2 linked regions of the Caenorhabditis elegans genome follow. The protein of the gene in region 1 purifies or fractionates together with the protein of each later gene. This does not show direct contact. Each region holds a gene or a part of one and is shown in the gene's direction. Other genes may lie near its edges. The genes, in order: daf-8 and nhr-69.

What was found.
Region 2: the proteins of daf-8 (region 1) and nhr-69 purify together in Caenorhabditis elegans (affinity purification with western blotting, with the first as the bait; one study listed by BioGRID). This does not show direct contact.

The regions. Positions count from the first base shown.
Region 1 is NC_003279.8:8,583,719-8,589,215, reverse strand, and holds daf-8 (Smad protein daf-8), read left to right. Parts: upstream 1-1,708; 5' UTR 1,709-1,726; coding exon 1,727-1,819; intron 1,820-2,379; coding exon 2,380-2,856; intron 2,857-3,053; coding exon 3,054-3,253; intron 3,254-3,457; coding exon 3,458-3,850; intron 3,851-3,973; coding exon 3,974-4,257; intron 4,258-4,466; coding exon 4,467-4,660; 3' UTR 4,661-4,792; downstream 4,793-5,497. UniProt on the Caenorhabditis elegans protein: Probably a receptor-regulated SMAD (R-SMAD) that is an intracellular signal transducer and transcriptional modulator activated by TGF-beta-like daf-7 signaling.
Region 2 is NC_003279.8:9,878,655-9,883,406, reverse strand, and holds nhr-69 (Nuclear hormone receptor family member nhr-69), read left to right. Parts: upstream 1-1,902; 5' UTR 1,903-1,913; coding exon 1,914-2,070; intron 2,071-2,175; coding exon 2,176-2,241; intron 2,242-2,290; coding exon 2,291-2,433; intron 2,434-2,649; coding exon 2,650-2,805; intron 2,806-2,999; coding exon 3,000-3,145; intron 3,146-3,200; coding exon 3,201-3,380; intron 3,381-3,427; coding exon 3,428-3,533; intron 3,534-3,578; coding exon 3,579-3,677; intron 3,678-3,948; coding exon 3,949-4,017; 3' UTR 4,018-4,224; downstream 4,225-4,752. Other genes in the region: inx-20 (Innexin), read right to left, coding at 4,288-4,424. UniProt on the Caenorhabditis elegans protein: Orphan nuclear receptor which, in cooperation with R-SMAD daf-8, modulates the Insulin/IGF-1-like signaling (IIS) pathway, perhaps by regulating expression of the potassium channel exp-2, which in turn modulates the secretion of insulin-like peptide daf-28.

The DNA.
Region 1 (5,497 bases):
CGAATTCTCTTTCTTCTTCTACCCTTCATCTGTTTTGCTCGTTGTGCAATTGTCAGGAGACATTTAATCCGAGTTAATCAAGAATTTTCGAAATTTATCTGAATCCGATTTTGTTTCTCTTCAAAGTCAGAAGAAATCATAAAAATAATATAAAAGAGGAAGAGGATTATACAAATTTAGAAACATTATTCATTCTTTTTAATCATGATATCTCAAAGGATGTTGTTTACTTCAACTTTTGAAAGGATTTTATAGATAAATTGTTATGATTATTTACTTGTTTTGTTTCTTCCTCCAGTATTTAATCTGTGGTCACTTCGTGGTCTTCAAGGCTTTAGGTTCAGCTCATTTTGGTTGTTTAATAGTAAGTCATATGATACGAAGATTCACAGAATGATTTGATAATAATAATAATACGAAATCTCTTTTTCTATAATATTCTCAGAATGTCATACTTCTATAGAATTTATAAATACATTATTACTGTTTTGAAAACCTTTTTTTCCTAATCTATTCGCCGTCAATTTGGCGTTCTTCTAACATTCAGTATTCGAAATCAATGTTCAAAATTTGCTTAGAGAACACCCCAAAATTAGGTTCCGTCCATATCTTGGCTTTTTTCGCCGCCAGATTCAGAAAAAAACTGATTTTCTGTGAGTTCTATTCTATTTTTTTAATTTCTTAAACAATTGGAAATGGTACAGTGTGTTATAAAATAGTTTATTTATTCTGGTTCCTCATGAGAGCACCTCAATAAAAAGTAGTGACGTACATCCATCTGAAACAAAAATAACAATATGACGCCTTCTTAGTAGTACTTATGTTAGTTTCTATTAATGGACTTTTTTTTAAAATAAAAACTCAAAATAGTCAAAGAAATTCTAAAAATGGACATTTGCTAAAATTTAAGAGAAACGATTTCAAAAGATGAAATTATACTTTCCTCCCAACTTTTTTGCTTTTGATAAATTGCTGGCCGAGTTATAACTATTTCTAGGTCACGTATCAGAAGCCGGGTGAGTCTTGAGATCTTCGTGATGCCTTGTCATATCTAAATGAACGAAACTTGAATAAATTAATTAGGAGTCATCGGCTTCATTGAGTTCAGAAAAATTCTGTATAAAACAAAATCAAGATTCAGGTAAATATCTAGATTTTCGATCATTTTGGAACCGCGTTCCTGATATCGAAAAAACTTCGAATCCATTTAAAAGTTGAATAAATCAAATGAAAACTTCCTCTCATTTTTCTTCATTTCTCTCTCTATTTTTCCTTGATTTTATAGGTGATGACGATTCTGATCAACACAAAAATCTTATCACAAACTGTTGTTTCTTATCATTTTTTACACGTTCATACCAGTTTTCATTCCGAGTTCTTGAATTTCATAATTCTTTCATTTCGCCTTTCTATGTAGATATTGAAACTCCGCCCATTTGAGTAGCTCACCTGACTCTTATGACTTACCAGAAGGTTCTATTATCATTTTGGATATAATTCTGTTTTCTGATTCAAATTTTTTTTGAATTTCGGCAATGCACAACGAAAAATATTAATTTCATATATAAAATCATCTGTACTATTTATTATTCTTTATCCCAAATCAGTCCTTTTTTGTGGTCGTTGCTTTTTAAGCTCGGCCCATTTTTTTGGATTTTATTCTAGCCTAACATCTCCTCCCATATTTTTTTTAATTCTTCGAAATTTCAGTTTTAAAACTACGAAAATGGACGATTTTCCTTCACCAGAACCTACTGATCCCAGACTTGAGGCAATGGCTCAAAAAGTGTTAGAAGAAACTATTATCACTGAAGGAGATGTATGTTTTTGAAGATTTGAAACTTTTTTTTTGAATTTTCAACACAAATAGTCTCGCTGGCTACTTTTAAAAATTAAAAAGCCATCTGCAAATTTTAAATTTCATATTCTAGGCCAGCCGGCGAGCAAGTAAGTGAACAAGAAACTTTAAAAAAGAGCAGAGTTGAGAGATACCGTATCTTGATCAAACATCAAATGTCCAGACATATTAGCGAATTTTTATTTTAAAATATTTAGAATCAACCTACATAAACATTAACTTATACGTTTTCTAATTTTAGAATGTGTCTCTCAAATTAGCCTTTTCTTTTAAAACAGGAAACAATTTTTTTTCAAAAATAGTAATACTTAAAGAAACTGAAAGGATATTTACGACAAAAGGTTTTAATGTATGTTGGAGACTCGAAAAGATCCAAAAAAAAAATAAAGAGAAAATTACAGGAAAAGAGAAAAGCCCATATCTTGTTTTTTAAATTTTGTTATAGTAAACTTTTCCTAAGAAATTCAAATCCTTAAAATTGCCCTATTTGAAGTGTCAAGCTATCCTCAACTATTTTTTAGGGAACAATCTACTGGGCTCTCAAAGTTACCCGATTACTCTCTAGAGTAGCTAAAAAACACCAGTGCTTTGAAGCTTTCTACGATGCCGTTATTAAAGGTGATCCAAAAACACGATGCTGTCCTGCACACAATGAGAAACTCATTGGAAACTTTGGACGAGCTATCATGTGTGTCTTGAGAGCATTCAGATTTCCGGTTATTCGATATGAATCTCAAGTGAAATCAATATTAACGTGTCGACATGCATTCAATTCCCATAGTCGGAATGTTTGTCTGAATCCGTATCATTATCGATGGGTTGAACTACCGACGTGCCAAGTTCCACCAATTATTGTAAATAAGGAATTGGATTACGGTGAACCTCCGATTCGGACTGAGGATGCACTGGATGATTGGAATCAAAAGGATTTGAAAGAGGAACAGGTGGTTGCAAGTTGGGATGTGCCAAATGTGACGATGAGAGGAGATGAAATTAAGGTTTGTTGAGAGATGATATCCCTTTTTGAACTCTTTCCAAAATGCAAAATCCAGTAAATAAGTTGCAATTAATCTTTTTTTTTCTTTAGAAATTTTGGAAATTTGCAAACTTACCAAAAACGTTGACTGAAATATTTGCACGTATTTCTACAAAACATCCACTGTCACCCCCTCACATTCAAAAATAAAAATTTCAGCTTCTCTATGATCGATATGCAGCTGAAAACGGAGATTTTCAATATATGAATTACGGAAATTTTGGCTCTTTTGATGGAAGTCCGTGTAGCTCTACCACGATGTCATTAGGATCATCTTTCGCATCGTTACTGCAACAAAGTAATCGACAAGACGACGAGGAACCCGGATATTATAGATCTGGACTCTCATCTCCAGCTAGGTACGAATTTCACTTTTTTGGAATTTTTTTGTTTTTACAATACTGATTCAACAATCTAAAGAACTGGCTAAACTGAAAGTAGAATTCGAAATTCGACCTAAAGGTTGAAAAAAAAATTAAATTTGGCGGTCGGGCCGACGAAACTGTTGAATATTGGAAAAAATTGAAATATTAGTTTAGATCTATAAAACTTTAAATTTACAGTCATGCAGCTTCTCCTCGAGAGTTTATTCCAAACGGAAATGATACAATAAGTCTGGATCAAGAAATGATGGATGATTCCGAAGTTAGTGACATCATGCATTCCGAGAATTTTTCATCAGAGAACAATGGAAACCGAAAGCCAACGTATGCAGATGGACGGCCTATCACACCAATTGAACCTCGACCACTCTATCGATCTTCGGCATTAGAACTTGGAGATCTGTCACGACAGGCTGGAATATATGAATGTGTAGAATATGAAGAGTCGCCGAGTTGGCTGAAATTAATTTATTATGAAGAAGGAACGATGATTGGAGAGAAAGCCGATGTAGAAGGGCATCACTGCCTGATCGATGGATTTACAGCTAGTCGCACTGACTCAGAAACCAGAAGGTTTGTATCATTGACAGAAGCCCTGGTCTAGAACTTACACGCATCTGAATTTTAACTACATTCACTAGTGTACACTGAACTAAAACATAAATTCAAGTAAATATCAAAATAACATCATTACAGCCGTTTCTCGCTTGGTTGGTACAACAATCCAAACCGCTCTCCACAAACGGCCGAAGTTCGTGGTCTCATTGGAAAGGGTGTTCGATTTTACTTGTTAGCTGGTGAAGTCTATGTAGAGAATTTGTGCAATATTCCTGTTTTTGTACAGTCAATCGGTGCAAATATGAAGAATGGTTTCCAATTGAATACTGTATCAAAGTTGCCTCCAACTGGAACTATGAAAGTTTTTGACATGAGATTATTCTCCAAACAGCTGAGAACAGCAGCTGAGAAGACATATCAAGGTGAGAGTGAATTAGTAATTTCTATTATATCATATTACTTTTCGTCCAAAGTACGGCTATTGTGCGATATATCAAAATTGTCAACTAAAAATAATTTATAAAAAGTTTTTGACATTTTTTGGTGTATAGTTTTTACCGATGCAACTTTCGGAGAATACGAATTCTCAAACCTTCTAGTCAGCTACATTTTTTTTCTTCCAACATTTCAGACGTCTACTGTCTCTCACGAATGTGCACAGTTCGTGTTTCGTTCTGCAAAGGTTGGGGAGAACACTATCGTCGTTCAACCGTCCTCCGATCGCCTGTTTGGTTTCAGGCTCATTTGAATAATCCGATGCATTGGGTCGATAGTGTACTCACTTGTATGGGAGCTCCACCACGTATATGTTCATCCAGAACTTAGCTTCTTTCTTTGCCAAAATCCTAATCTCCAATTTGCGTGTGATCAATTTTGTTGATAGAGAAAGGTTTTTATTTTACTCTAAAACATCAAAACGAGTTTTAAAATTTTTTATTTAAAAATTTAGATTTTAAACTTTTTCTGTGTATTTTTACATTGTTTTTGAGGGCTTTAGAACTGCTCGAGATTTCTTTTTGCAGCTTTTAAACGACTTATGTCAACTTTAAAAGTGTTTACAGTAGCCAAATATTCTAGAATCCTTGGAAATGTAATTTTGGTCTGATTTTTTCCGATCGAGCTTGATGGATTAAATTTAATATTATCAAAAAAAAAAACACTTTCAAAAAGCTGCCAGGATATTCACTTAAATATAAACCCCCTAAAATCCTTGGAAATCATCAAAATAGTTATCCGAGCAGTTTTACGTCCGTCGAAAGTAGTGCACAGTTACGCTTAAAATGTTTCAGATCGAAATTTTATTTATCCAGAAAGTGGCTTAGAGTTTTACAGTGATCTGTTTTCAATAAGTAATTTAGTATTTAAAAAAAGTTTCGTTTTGATATTGGAGCGTGAAATCAAAACCTTTTCTTGCGAGAGTGGAGCACTTTACTTGTGAAAGGATCGGTTGAAAGGAGGAGGTTCTAAGAATTGTAGATCTAAATCAAACGTAGGCGGCAATTGCCAAATTTGCCACGTTATTTGGAAGAATTTTCTGAAATTGAGTACTTCAAACTGATTTTAGACAAAAAAATCCCTAAATTTGTTCGGTATTTATGTGGGAATTTATCTTAAAATTGTCAATTTTGCCCATGAAATGATTAGATAATTGTTTGCCACCCA
Region 2 (4,752 bases), 1.3 Mb from region 1:
CGCATGTTTGTTTTCGTTGTCACTCTCACTTTACGTCTGAAAAGGAATTTTAATCGATTTTTCGAAGATCAAATTGTCAACCGTTTTCATTTTTGGCTTCAGTGGTAGGCAGGCATGTCGTCAGGACAGGCGATCGTGCCTTGCATACCTGCCGCCTATTTTCTGCATTCTGACGGGAAGCGCGGTGTTTCGTGCGATTTTCAAACAATGTTTGCGATTTTTGAGCGAAAGATACGGTGCCGGGTCTTGACACGACAAAAAAAATGATAAAAATTAACAGAGAAACTGAGAAAATACACGAGTGAAAAACACAATCTCATGGGAAATTTATAAAAATAAGAATTTAACAAAAGTTTGTCGTGCCGAGACCGGCTACCGTATTTTCGGCGCAATAATACCCGACAGTTCATAAGCCGGGTTTTTCAGAATGGGAGTCAAAAAAGGGTTACTGTAGCAGTAGTGTCCAATACATTCGCTTGTAAAGTACGGTACAAGGTGACCATCGGAAAGAACGGAAAATGTGAGAAGCTATTAAAATTACAATAAATCACATTTTTGAGATATCTGTTGTTTTCCATAACTCTTCATATTCATATTATTTCAAGTAAAAATCAGTTTGTCAAAATCAAAAAACAAACATCAAAAAACAAAAACTATAAAGATTCATTTTTTTGATAGTTTTTGACATTAACTACGTTGATTTTAACCGAATCTATCTAAATAAGTCAACCAGGCGAGTTTTAATGTTAAATTCAAAAAATTTAGCAAAAATGCTCGAAAAATTCAGCTGAAAATTGAAAAATCCTATTCTCCTCGAGAGACTGCGTAAATCCATCGCGACCAGCTCTTCCATTTCTAGACATGAGTTCGGAAGCCCGGGATTTGTAAAACCTGTAAATGAACCAAATCATTCTCAACCCCTCCCGTTCGAACTTCGAATGAGCTGCGTTTTCTTAAACTGAAATTCCAGAAATTACAGTCGTCTTTCAATATTGTATTCCCGATCTCTGCAAGACCCTTATCAGTCCTTCTATAAATTTCTCATTTTCTCTACCCACTCTCTCATTTTATAATTGTCTTTTCGTCGTTTCTTTCACATGTTTGTCACTTCTTTGCCCCCTTCTTCCCGCCATTCTTATCAAACACCCATCATACGCTCTCCAATACAATGTATTCTTTTTCTTCTTTTTCCAATCATTTTCCTGCTTCTTCATACTCTCTTTTTTTGTTCTTCACACACGTTTTAAGGATCATTGACAATTTGAAATCAGGAAGATCAGTTTTTATGAAGTCGGGTACAAAGAAGGATAGACTAAACTAGAATTTTGTTCTAGAAAAGTTTCAACTAGAAATTGAGATACTTTATTAAATGTTCAGATTTGAAAAATCTCTATGTTTTCCACCCTGGCATATACATATATACCGACATACGTGCCTACAGGCCAATGGCGCGCGGAATATGCCCACCAGTAATTCTACATGAGCCAGGGAGTTCTCATAGTATCTGAAATTTGAAAATGGAGGTAAAAAATTAGGCAAATTGCAACTTTCGAACAGTTTTTCGGACGAATAAAGGTTATTTTCCAATAAAACAAAAAATGCGATATATTCTGTCACCAAATTTAAATAAAAAATATCGAGAGAACATGCCACACTGGTTTGCTTTAGGTTTCCTATTCCTGCATTTCTGTAAATTAAATTATGTCTTTTCATGAGTAGGTGGTCTTCAAAGCTGCCTTGTAGGCACGTAGGTAGGCCTATCTAGGCTTAGATCTATGTAAGATCTAGTTTTTGGACATCTAATTTGAATTTAAACTTGCTCATCAAATATTCTATTCCGCTTCTTCCTACTTTTTATTATTGATTCATATTATCTAATAGAGCACAATTACATAAATATTTAGACAAAAAGTATGGTCGAAGAAATATGTCATATTTGCAACGACAAATCAACTGGTAAACACTACGGGGCAATCAGTTGTGATGGATGTAAAGGATTCTTTCGACGAAGTATTCGCAAACGATATCATTATCAATGCAGATTTGAACAAAATTGTGATGTTACCAAAAGTATGTTTATAGTTTTTAAAGTTTTTGGGCCGTTGGTTTCTGAAATTTCCAAAAGCAAGTCGGTCCTCCAATGTAATAAATATGTAATATTTCCTCTTATTTCAGATAAACGGAACGCATGTCGAGCATGTAGACTTCAAAAATGTGTAAAAGCGGGAATGAAGAGTAATGGTGAGATCATTCCAATACTTTTTTATAAAAATAGCCTGTACTATTTCAGCAATTCAAAATGAACGGGATGCAATTGGAAAACGGAAAAAGACTACGGGAGCTGAAAAAGAAGATTTGATAGATCAACTTGTTGCCGCAGAAACATTATGTCAGCAATTAAGGTCCAGTGTAATCAAGAATACATCTTCACTTGTAAGTTTGATTGGGATTAAACGCAGTGCTTCAAATTTCGTCAAGAGGGATTTCTTTCAATTTGGAAAGTTCTTGATTTTCTTTACTTAAGAAACACGGTTTAATTATGCCGGAATTTGTACCTGGTGGTTCTTTTTCCGCCCCCAGAAAAATCTGTTTTCTAGTTTCACCTCTTGATCTCAGTCAATAATCACATTGAATCCACGTGTTTTACAGGCACCATACGACTGTGGAAAAGTTAAATGGAATTATGAAGATGCGAGAGCTGCCACATTGGATGATATTGGAAAATCGATTCATCAACAATTGGTTCTTTTTATCGAATGGGCGAAGTCATTACCTCAATTCTCGTTTTTGGCTCAAGCAGATCAGGTATGATTTTTTTTCTATGAAAAATTTCAGAAAAATATTTGTTAGATGATTTTTTTTTTGATAAAATCAAAAACAACAGAGATATTATTTAGCTGTCATAGTAGCGAGTTTAATACTGAAAATACTGCAATTACTTGTTTCATACTTTCTTTTTTAAAAAATGACGACTTCTAGCAACAATTTCATAATTCCAGGCAGCTCTTCTCAAAGGCGGTGCCGCGTCAATAATTGTACTTGGAGTAGCATATCGATCGATTTGTCTGACAGTTGAAAATACAATTTGCCTTGCAAATGACACACTTCTTCCAAAAGAACATGCAACACAAGTGGGAGATATCAAGTGAGTATATTCTCATTTCATATCTGTATTCTCAGGTTTTGTACAGTCATTTCAGTTGTGTCGTCGGACGAATTATTGATGAAATTGTGAATCCAATGAGGAGGTTAAATATGGATTTAATTGAATATGTTGCACTGAAAGCTATTCTGTTTTTCAATCCAGTCGTCAGAGAAATCAACGATCAGAGTCCGGTGGAGAACGCCCGATATGCTTTTTTGAGGTCATTGCAGAGAAGGTTTATTTGACAATACTAGCTTCTATAACAAATGTAATATATTTCAGGTGTACTGACAAGGCACTTGAAAATATGGAAGACGAATCAATGGATTGCAGAAGTGGAAAGCTTTTGTTATTACTTCCATCACTTCAGGCTATTGCTCAACAATTGGTTAGTTACAATTGTTATTCAAATTAGTAATTTATGAATTTAAAGGTAGAAGATGTCCAACTTGCTCGTTTGTTCGGTCTCGTGAATGTCGATTCGTTAATGGAAGAACTTATTCTAAATGATATGAAACCTTCAGATCCACAGGTAATTTTTATTTTGAAAAGCAGAACAATGAAAGGAATATCTTAGTTATTGGCAACTTTCAAAACCTAAATCCTGAGCCCGGGGAATTTTATTTCAAACTCTTCCAAATGTGGAATATGCACAACAAATTTTGTTTAGTCTATCTAAGGAGAATAGGTCAATAAATATGCGGATTTCTTTTGTGCTTTGTGACTGTTAAGCTTATGGTGGTTTTGTGGAAGACCCTAATAAGTTCCAGAGACAATTTCAATCTCACAATTTTTGTTTTCAGATATTACAAACGAGTCTGGCATCACCGGTGAACTCGTCCGTTAAAGCAGAAGTTGAATTGGAAGAATAGTTTCCAATTTTCCAATATTTTATATTCAAGAGACCATAATCTCATCTTGCCTCCCTTCCTGCTCAAACCATCTAAATACTTCCAAACTTTGACTTCTAGAAATCGGGTCCCAACGGACACATTACTTACCTGCTCAAACCACCTCATTGTTTCCTTTTTCTATGTTGGTTTTATTATTATTTTAATAATTATTATTTCATGTCATGCAAATATTTGAAATTGTAACAACAATTAATTCGGTATCAGGAAAACAACAAAATATTGAAATTATTATACATTCGCAGCTGAAGCCATTCGGCTGCTTGGAGGTCGAAGGAATTGAGGAGCTGGTGTAGTTGGAGATTGATCCAAATGTAAATCTTCTCGACTCATGAGAGGAACCAAAACTGATGTTTTCCGTCGCAGACCTGAAAAGGGTGCATAGTATTCAGGCAAATGAGAACAAGTCTAAAATGTATTTATTTTTCATAAGCTATGAATGATACTAACACCTCTCGGAAATAGTTTCTCTTTGAAACTGACTCAAATTTTGCGAGACTCTTTTTTAACCGGATCATACTTTTTTAAACGGCAGAACAAATTTGCATTAACTAGATGAGCACCTTTATGATAATCAGTCTGAACATCTAGGTCTAGCCATCACAAAAAAAGACCGAGAATGCGTAATTCCAAATTGTTCGGTGGAAGAAAATGCATGATTCTTAGTACGCTTGGTCAGGTAATTCACTACGTTCT